2 linked regions of the Sus scrofa genome follow. The protein of the gene in region 1 interacts with the protein of each later gene in a pairwise test. Links are inferred from orthologs where the notes say so. Each region holds a gene or a part of one and is shown on either strand. Other genes may lie near its edges.

Region 1 (4,925 bases):
TATTGTCTTTAAAAAGACCAAAAAACTTCCCCACATGAATACAGTTCTTACCAATGAATGAAGGGGAACAAAAGAGGAAAGAAATCTTCATTATGTGTATCCTTGTAATCATTAAAAAGTTTGTGTATGATATCACTTTTATGTGGAATCTAAAATATGGTACAAATGAACCTATCTACAAAACAGACTCATATAGAGAACAGACTTGTGGTTGCCAAGGGGAAGAGGGGAAGAAGTGGGATGGATGGGGAGTTTGGTGTTTGTAGATACAAACTGCTACATTTAGAAGGGATAAGCAATGAGATTCTGCTGTATAGCACAGGGAACTACATCCAATCTCTTGGGACAGATCATGATGGAGTATAAGAAAGGGATTGTGTATATATATGTATGACTAGTCACTTGGCTATACAGCAGAAATTGGCACAATACTGTAAATCAACTATACAATAATAAAATATTTAAATTAAAAAAGAGAAAAGGGAGTTCCCATCGTGGCGCAGCGGAAACAAATTCAACTAGGAACCATGAGATTTTGGGTTTGATCCCTGGCTTCGCTCAGTGGGTTAAGGATCTGGCGTTGCCATGAGCTGTGGTGTAGGTCACAGACGTGGCCTGGATCCCACATTGCTGTGGCTGTGGTGTAGGCCAGCGGCTACAGCTCTGATTAGAGCCCTAGCCTGGGAACCTCCATATGCTGTGGGCGCGGCCCTGAAAAGACAAAAAAAAAAAAAAAAAAAAAAAAAGAAAAAAGAAAAAAGAAAAAAAGGTTACGTATATGAAAATATAATCATCAGCATTTAAGAAAAACAACCATACATTCTAGAGTTTTGTACATATACACAATGTTCTTATTCACTAAACTCAAGGGCAGAGACCAGTTTTCAAATATCTTTTTAGTCCCTAAATGCCTTTAGTATCTTAGAATAGAAATTTCTCAGTAACTGTTTAATGATTTTCTAGATTCAACAAACTCAAAAAAGCAAATAGTTAATAGTTACACTTTGATGTACTTTTTCAGTTATATTATTCTGTTCTTTAAAAAAAAAAATCTATGAAGACTTTTAAATCCTAAGATAATATTCTTTTTTATAAAGAACTGAGTAACTAAAATATATATCTAAAAATGGTCATATTAAAAAGAGATTTAGTAAATTAGGCATATTTATTGAGAGACATTTATTCTAGTTCTTTAAATAATTTTCAAAAGTGGAAAAGGGCAAAAATTCTAAAACACCAGTAATATTCTATTTCTTAAGCTGTGTGGTAGCACATGGCTGGTTCACTTTGTTTTCAAAAATTGAACTTGTATGTACACTTTTTTTTTGTGGGATATTTTGAAATAAAAACATTAAATTTAAAATATTTAAAAACCTTAGGTCAGGGTTTTGAAAGCAATAGAGAAAATGAATGACATTAGTTTCTATTGTTTCACAAAAGCAAACTGTGTAAAATATTCAATTTTACATTGCCCCCCACAAAGGATATTAAAAACTCCATAATCTTATCTAGTTCATTAACACAATGAGGGCTACAACTGCAGACAAGGAGCTGAGGTGTCTGCTGTGGGTCCCTCTTTTCTGAAAGCTATCATCCTCCTGGGGGAGCTACAGATTTGTTGCCCATCTGCTTTCTTCAAGATGCTCTCCGGGGGCACAAAAATAGCACAGACTTGAAACTACTCTCAAATTCTTAAGAGGCTAACAGAAAATGAAATAAATGCTGAAATAAAGGACATCATGAATGAATAAAGACTTAGTATAGATAGAATGTGGGATATTTATGCCCCTCTAAAAGGATGGTTTAAAATGTAGGTAATGCTGGAGTTCCCATCATGGTTCAGTGGTTAACAAACCTAACTAGTATCCATGAGGATGTGGGTTTGATCCCTGGCCTCGTTCGGTGGGTTAAGGATCTGACATTGCCATGAGCTGTGGTGTAGGTCACAGATGCGGCTTGGATCTGGCATTGCTGTGGCTGCGGTGTAGGCCAGCAGCTACACCTCCAATTCGACCCCTAGCCTGGGAACCTCCATGTGCCTCGGGTGCAGCTCAAAAAAGACAAAAGAAAAAAAAATGTGGTACTGTTGGAAGAAAAGGAAGGAAGGAAGATTGAAAAGAAAAAACTAGTGTTCCCGCATCGAGCATGCACTCAATAAAGTGACATGAGCCTGGCATATTTAATATAAAGAATAAATCTTATTTCTATATATCTATTGGTCCACCAGTTTCTAAAATGATCTACTCTTTGTATCATGTATGATCTAAACAATCAGTTCCTGGTGTTTACTACCTAGCAAGACATTTACTGAATCAGTGAAAAAGCAGTTATGAAAAAGAAGACCTCATCTTTTCTCCCAATGGAAACTTCATAGGCTTTCTGCAGCTCCTTCAAGCTGTTGATCTGGTTGCACAGTTGTTTCACCTCTGCTGCATGTTTTTCTTTCTCTTTTTTCATTTCCATTCGGTGCCAGTCAATAAAATTAAGTCTCCATTTACTTAGTTCAGATATGATGTTTGTCTGAAAAATAAATGTACCGACAATTAAGTTGCTTGTTCCATAATACTGCTTCTTTAAATGACACTGAAGTTAAGAAATATTTTTTAAAAATCAAAACATGCACTCAACATCAGAGCTATTTTAAAAATCCAATAATGAAAACATCTACAAATTCAATAGTCACAGCTCTTCTTAGTTCATGCACCATACTAAGGACATGATTTTTTGCCTATTTTAAGTTACTTTGTAAAAACGGTCCTAAAATCTCAGTGTCATTTAAAAAATTTAGGTCTCATTCATTAATACACATGTCCTTCGTTTATTCAAAGACTTAAATGCCCATCTTAAGGTGGATCAGAAAACAAAGAAATGCAGGACTAGGGCGTCATCTAGATGGAGAAGAGCAGAAACTATTGGAGTTGATACTTTCTTCCTCCAAATCATTTATCACAATGGCCATCTTACAAGTTGCTAAGTTTGATCCCTTTTCACCCTACTGACTGGCCTAAGTAAAAGGGCCAAATAACTGTGCTATCAAAAAACTAGATAACAGTATGTGGTTAACTTGAACACAGGATAATTTTTAAATGGTTGGTGGTACACAATTCCAATAACTTACACCAGGACTAGAAATATGAAACCTGTTCCATGGGGGAAAACAAATAGAAATTGTACTAAAAGATTGGGAGTTCCTGTTGTAGCGCAGCAGAAACAAATCCGACTAGGAACCATGAGATTGCGGGTTCAATCCCTGGCCTCACTCAGTGGGATAAGGATCCGGTGTTGCCATGAGCTACGGTGTAGGCTGCAGACCCAGCTCGGATCCTGTGTTGCTGTGGCTGTGGTATAGGCTGGCTCCTGTAGCTCCGATTCAACCCCAGCCTGGGAACCTCCATGTGCCGCGGGGAAGGCCCTAAAAAGCAAAAAAAAAAAAAAGCAAAAAAAAAAGAAATTATACTAAAAAAAGTACTTCTAGAATTTAAGGTTCCATATAATGGAGAAATATATGTAAATACCACAAAACTCTTTTGACCATAATTTCTCCCTGTGTGCGAATACTCAGTTTTCTCAAACTATGTTTCAGAAAAACTGTTGTTTTCTCTACCATTTTTTAAATAGCAAAAAAACCGCCATTTCTGTAATACTTTGTTTTATTTAGAGGCTACTAAAATCGCCAAAATAAAAATCAGTTTTTATTGATTTATTGGTTATATTCTGTGGTTGCTAGAAGAGTGGCTATAAAGAGAATATATGTTGCTAAAATTGGGTCTGCACTTCCCCTTAGTCAGAGCTGCAATGTGGGAGAGGTTCACAGGTGCCTCTCTCAGTCACACATAGGCCGAGCCTTTGGAAACATCTGAGAAGGTCAGTGGAACATGCAGACCTGTTCCAGCAACTATTTAAAACCCTGCTCTTTAAAGTATGGTTTCTGAACCATCACCTGGGGGCTTGTTAAAAATGCATCATCTTAGGCCATGGCCAAGGCCAGCTGAATAAGAAGCTGCAGTTTAACAGAATCACCAGGTGATTCACTTGGACAGTAACAACTGAGAAGCACAGATTTAATACACTGGACTGAATTTTTTGTTTTTTTAAAAGCTTTTTAATTCAAAGAAAAACAGACTAAATAGTGGAATCAAGAGCAAAACTGCTACACTACATATTAGATTACAATCAAACAAGTGTAATACCTTAAGCCCTGAACTCCAAAGATCAAGCACGTTTTCCATCTTTTGAAGGTTTTCATCAGAAATAAGAAAATCGCTCACAACAATTTCATGGGCATCTATAGGACTAGAATGAGACCCTGGTGAGGAAGAGTCAACTAAAAGATTTGTACTGAAAAAATCCATGACCGGGTGAGGCGGCTTCCTGGGGGATGACACTGGTGATGAGCCTAGAATAAAACAAAAGTTGGAACGGTCAGCTAAAATGAAAATAACCCAAATTGGCAAGAAGTTATATTGGAAGGCTAGAAGATGTCAGTTATCTATGGAGGCTGAGGAAAACATGGAGAAATGGCCTTTCAGTGTCCTTAATCTGGTTATTTTAAACTTTAGTGTTGTCACAGATTTAAAACTCACCTCCCTCCCCCATCCACAAATGACCTGTCTCCAAATAAAGATGGTTTGTATATCTAGGTGTAGCCTGAGTTCAAAGTGTTATCATCCACATCATCATATCAACAGTTACTAAGTGCTTTCTATGTTCCTGTAGTAAAAACACTATAAGATTAGCTCTCATAACACACACTACTCTAAGAAAAAGGTATTATTACCTCCATTTCGCTGATGAGGAAACTGAGGTTTAGAAAGGGTTAAGTAACGGACCAAGGTCAGACTAACTGTACATAGGTCATTACTTTATGCAAAACAATGGGGTGGGTTTTAACTCTACTAACATTCAACACTATAAGAGACTAAAAA
Region 2 (5,603 bases), on another chromosome or scaffold:
CGCACGTGCGCGCATACACACACACACACACCCCCAAGTGCACATGAGAGTTCACTGGGTTTTATAAAAGAGAAAGCTGCACTCAGGTGTCAATGACAACGGGAACCATCAAAGAGATGTCCCTTGCTCGTGGGGACACAGGTACAACATGTGCTTGTTAAGAAGTTGTTCTGCGGTGGGTGGCACAAATGTGGGAATGCATGACAGGAGTTAAGTGACACAAGGCAGAATGGCAGGTGGGCAAAAGCCTGAAGACCCTTTTCTCCACTCTAACATGCCATCAGCAGGTCTCCTTACAAAGGACTGTAATGTCAAAGAATACTTTCGAAAGTCTAAAATGGATTCGACGCTGTCACTGAAGTTGTTAGACAGAGAGGTCAGTGGGGGAGAAGTAATTTATGTTCTCAAAAACCAGGTTTCACACAATGGCAGGCACTCAGTCTAGTTCCAGGTGCTTGCGGTAGGAAAGAGACCGAGCTTAATAAAGACTGGTCTTCTTCATGATGCGCAGGAACTCTTGCTCATTGACTTCTCCGTCCCCATCGCGATCAGCTTCATCAATCATTTCCTGCACAACAGGAGTCAAGTTAGATGAATTCATAAATGAAACAAAAATGTGACTAAATAATAGGCTTTTATAATGCTACCTGAATAGACAATTGTAGTCCCCCGCACACACACACACACTACAAGATGCTGCTTCTTATAATAGCTTGCCTCCCGAAAAGTTATTTGAAAACCCAGCCATCCTTTGCCACACATGTATCACCTGAGCTCGAAGATCATCTTGACCAGGGAGACGCCTAAAACCTAAAATAGTAAGTAAAACTATCCGTGAGGCAGCAGCGCCCATACGTTTGCCACACTATTGAAAAAGAAATTAAATGGTCACTAGAGGGACAAGAGAATGCTAGTTTTCCTCCAAAGCATTAGAGAAAACATAACACGGAAAAGCCACACAGGGCTCCAGGCTGACACATCACACACCTGCAGCTCCTCGTCAGTGAGGTTCTCGCCCAACTCCTTGGCCACGCGTTTTAGATTCTTGAACGATATCTTCCCAGTTTCATCGTCATCGAAGAGCTTGAAAGCTTTCAGGATTTCTTCTTTGGTATCCTTCTCAGACTTAACAAGTAGAACATAAAAAACACATGAGTAAAGAGACTCATAATTACCTGTGTCCCACAACCCTAGCACCATCCCCTCTGCCCTGCCACAACAGCACCACATGGCCTCATGACATTGGTGCTAGGTCACAGAAGATCAAAAATCAACCAGCGTAGAGAGAGGGGACAAACATGAAATTGGTACAATCCCAGAGGCTAAGAAGGAAATATAAAGGCTTGCACTTAAAACATTTTCTATACAAATGGAAGAGAAAAGTAGACTGCTTTTTAAAATACAGCAGCAGGAGTTCCCGTCGTGGCGCAGTGGTTAACGAATCCGACTAGGAACCATGAGGTTGCGGGTTCGGTCCCTGCCCTTGCTCAGTGGGTTAACGATCCGGCGTTGCCGTGAGCTGTGGTGTAGGTTGCAGACGCGGCTCGGATGCCACGTTGCTGTGGCTCTGGTGTAGGCCGGTGGCTACAGCTCCGATTCAACCCCTAGCCTGGGAACCTCCATATGCCGCGGGAGCGGCCCAAGAAATAGCAACAACAACAACAACAACAACAAAAGACAAAAAAATAAATAAATAAATAAAATACAGCAGCAGATGATGGGATTAAGTTTAGAGGAAATTCCACTGCTTAAGCTGGGATCCTCTTGGGGGCAGAGGGGAGCAGGGAGGAAAGAGAAGGCGATTTCACTTATGAGAGCACCAAGAGTTACTAGAATCCCAGGTACTCTGACAGAGGAAAAGAGGAAAAGCTTCCTGAACTCTTAACTTAGTCCCTGAAGAAAAATATGGGTGTGATTAGATGATTTCAAAGCAACAGGATTATTAGAGTGGGAAGAGACCTGTGCCTTGGGAAGCACAGCTGAAGCACTGATGGAGCTACTTTTCCACGGGCCAGTAGAATGTACATGAGCCACACTGAGGAGGAGCCAGGAGGCCAATGAAAGAGAAAGGGACCAATGGGTGAAAAGACACTTTCATATCTAGACTCAAATCTGTCCACCATTATTGGTGGAAAATACACCCATCATCTTAGCTAACCTACCATTTTCTGAGTCATCACAGTTAAAAAGTCACTGAAGTTCATTTTTCCTGTCCCTTCCTTATCGATTTCACTTATCATTTTCTTGATCTCTTCTTTCTTGGGTTCAAAGCCCAGTGCCCTCATTGCCACCTGCAATGAAAACAGGATCATCTCAATATGTACATCTAAACCCAGGGGCAAAAAATGACAGCATTGAGAGCATTAAGCCAGTATCTGACACAATCATGTTAAAATAATTAGGAAACACTATAACATTAAGCAAATTGATATTTGCACTCAATTTTGTTTAATAATACTTGAGGTAAATAAAGACAGAAAAACAGCACAGAAGAGAAAGAGGCAGAGAAAAGTCAAGGCAGCAGAGCAGGAATGTACAGGGCTTGCCTTAAGTTCTTTAACATCTATTGTCCCAGTTCCATCAGCATCAAAGAGATCAAAAGCTTCTCGGATTTCCTGTTTCTGCTCTTCAGTAAGCTCTGGTTTAGGGCTCATCCTTTTTCGCTGGGCAGCAGATGCCACGTTTGTCTTCTTAAAGTTAGAGGCCTTTATATGTTTCACAAACAGAGAAGCACGGTATTATGTAATAGGGTACATATTTTACATAAATATGTTACAATCCTATCTACTTTTAAAATAGTTTATACCAACGAATTCCAAAACTAACAGGAGAAATAACAGCGTTTAGTGAAAAGAGCAAATACTCTTTCTCTGCACCTCTATCCCTCCCTCTTCTTTACTACTGTTTCTAGAAGGAGATCCTTTGTTCTTTTGGATATCTCTTATTTGAAATCATCTAAAAAGAGAGCTGGCCAAGGAGCTGACTCTGGATAAATGTACAGATAATCAGCTCTCTCTGAATTTGGGACCCTAAATCTAAAAATGTCCTTAGAACGCTATTCTGCTTCGCTCTAAGTTATAAGATTTTCTGATTACTTCTAATTTGGCCAAATACTAAGTTAAGATGTATATTCTGTCAATATCGAATAATAAAACTCAATCCCCTCGGCACATCTGAGCCTTCCCCAAGAAGGTCAAAGCGTTTCCGAAGTCCCAATATTTAACATTTTAAATGCACATTAACAATCAAACACAATAAACTTCCCCTAGGCTCTGGGTAGAAACTTTGGTAGAGGCGGCCAGGAGGCCAGAGTCTGGAAGTGGTCGGGGTGTGCGAAGAGCCCGAGTCTGTTTTGACCAGAGGTGGTCACCGAAGGAGCCAGGGGAGCCCGAAGGACGGATAGGGGCCAGCTGTGGCTTGAATGGGACGCAGCGGCTAATCGCAGGCCCAGCAGGGCGGCCAGGATCTCTACCCTACCCTTCCGGGAAGCGCTCAGAGGAAAGAGTGCGCCAAAGCCGAGAACCGCGCAGGAGAGACGGCGGGGCCAGGCCAAGGCCTGTGAAGGGCTCAGCTTCTGGACACAGGGTTCGAAAGGGTAACAAGCACTCACCATCGCCGATGGACTCCGCTTCCCGTTGTTACGGCAACGGACGTACACACCGACTCGGCGCCCTTCCCACCGCCCCCTGCGCGCGGCCTTGCACCCCATTGGAGGACAGATGACTGCAGCTCCCCATTGGCACAGTGCTGGAGTGGGTGGGACTAACCCGACGGAGGCCTGACGCAGGGCGCAGGGCATTGTGGCGCGGCCTGGCCTTATTGGGCAGGATTACACCGCGAGCGCTGATTGGCCGAGCCAGCACCAATCCCTTTGGTGGAGGCGCCTCGGCTGATAGTAGCCTCATAAGGGTGGGGAGAAACAGGTGGTTGCTGGCGCCTGGAGCTCTGAGGCTGTAGGCTACCGATGCGCTGAGGCCGGCCAGGGAGGCACCTACCAACAGGTAAGGGTTGCGACCTCGCTCTTGGGTTGGCGATAGGACTGGAAAGGCAAGGAATTGGGTGGGGCCTTTCGCGGGGCTCGAAAAGGTAACAAGCCCTCACCCGGTCGGGGACTTTCTGGTCTGGACTAAGACTGAGTTAGGGTCAGAGGGGCCAGAGAAGACCGTGACCTTGCGTGTTGGAGCAGAGGATGTATTTACGGGGCAACTGAGACGGAGAAGGAAAGGCAGAGGCCGGGCGTTATCACAGAAATTCGGACGTCTGGGACTTAGAAGCTGAATTCATCCACCTGAGGCTCTTTCTTTGGGCGTGTCCGTCCCACCCCAAATAGATAACAAGATAGGATCACTTTAGTTCTCACCTGGCTAAAAGCAGCTCGGGAAGATGAGCTGGGGGCCTAGGAACGGCCTTTGAAGGGAGTGAAGGAGATTTGAGTGAGCATAAAGGGGACAGATCATCAAAATATACTCATTTTGACAACCAAACACTCAAGGCGGATAGTGAGGAGTATTCCAGGTGGGGACACTTCATGAGCAAAGTCACAGAGCCGTTTTGGAAAGGTGAGGCTTGCTCAGAGAATTACAAGGGGGCGTGTGCCACGGTAACAGATGAAAGGGAGCTGGAACAGTGGCCCTGGAAGTCCAAGGTCTGCCTTCCTTAGCCAGCCCAGTGTAAGGGCACTTCTTGCCTCTCAGCCCTTACCTGCTTCACCTCTGGGCATTGGCACAGCATTTTGGGAAGCAGGGGACAGAGCATAAGTTTCTCAGGCTGAAGAAAGCCTGAGATTTATTGACATTCATTAAGCGAAAATGTTTGCCGAACTTCTGCCCTTTACCCTCTTCCTCTTTGAGCACAAGCCGAGTCCAAAACCTTTTGGTCCTATTTGACTCTTCCTGCCCTGGCCCCACTAACTAGCCTCCACTTTCTGTCAGCTTCCTCCTTAAAGGGTGTTTCTTTTCTCTTTTCCACCTCTGTTGCTCCTGTCCCACTTCACGCCTTCAGCAGCAGCCCCCCTGTGGGTACAAGCCAGAGCTCTCACCATGCTCTGCAAGGCCCATCCCAACATGCTTCCTCCTCTCCCCTGGCTGCTCCAGCCCCAGGACACTAGCTTCCTTGATGGACTCAAATGCACGGACACACTCCTGCCTTCAAACTTTTGTTCCAACCATCTCTTCTGCCTGTTTGTTCTACTTGTTTCCTTCTTCCAGGTCTTTGCTCCACTGTCACCTTCTCAGTGAGCCACCCTAAGCATCCTATTTAGCCCTGCATCTCCCAGAACACCCAAACCCTACACCTTTCTCTGTTTTTATCCCCTAGTACTTATAACTGTATCCTTATTTATTTTGTTCTTCTTTGCCCATCCACTAGAAGGGAAGCCATATGGGTGCAGGCATCTTTGTTTTGTTCACTGCTGGCATTCCAGGACCTTGATCAGTGAAGGGTACATATTAGGTCCTCACTAAATCTTGGTTGAACAACTGGTGAGTAGCCCCCCTGTTCCCCGCTTCTCCCCTATCTAGTCCACGCTGCTTCATCAGGGTAATCTTCCTATTGAGCAGTTCTCATCAGAGGTTCCCCATGACTACAGACCAAAGTCCAGACTT

What was found.
Region 2: the proteins of POC5 (region 1) and CETN2 interact in binary tests that used the Homo sapiens proteins (3 or more experiments, as listed by UniProt). The link is inferred for Sus scrofa from reciprocal best matches to the Homo sapiens genes POC5 and CETN2.

Annotation. Positions count from the first base shown.
Region 1 is NC_010444.4:84,709,524-84,714,448, forward strand, and holds part of POC5 (centrosomal protein POC5), read right to left. Parts: intron 4,397-4,925; coding exon 4,191-4,396; intron 2,521-4,190; coding exon 2,344-2,520; intron 1-2,343. UniProt on the Homo sapiens protein: Essential for the assembly of the distal half of centrioles, required for centriole elongation. Acts as a negative regulator of centriole elongation.
Region 2 is NC_010461.5:123,902,284-123,907,886, forward strand, and holds the start of CETN2 (centrin-2), read right to left. Parts: upstream 3,764-5,603; 5' UTR 3,710-3,763; coding exon 3,611-3,709; intron 2,706-3,610; coding exon 2,547-2,705; intron 2,292-2,546; coding exon 2,163-2,291; intron 1,126-2,162; coding exon 988-1,125; intron 569-987; coding exon 479-568; 3' UTR 1-478. UniProt on the Homo sapiens protein: Plays a fundamental role in microtubule organizing center structure and function. Required for centriole duplication and correct spindle formation. Has a role in regulating cytokinesis and genome stability via cooperation with CALM1 and CCP110.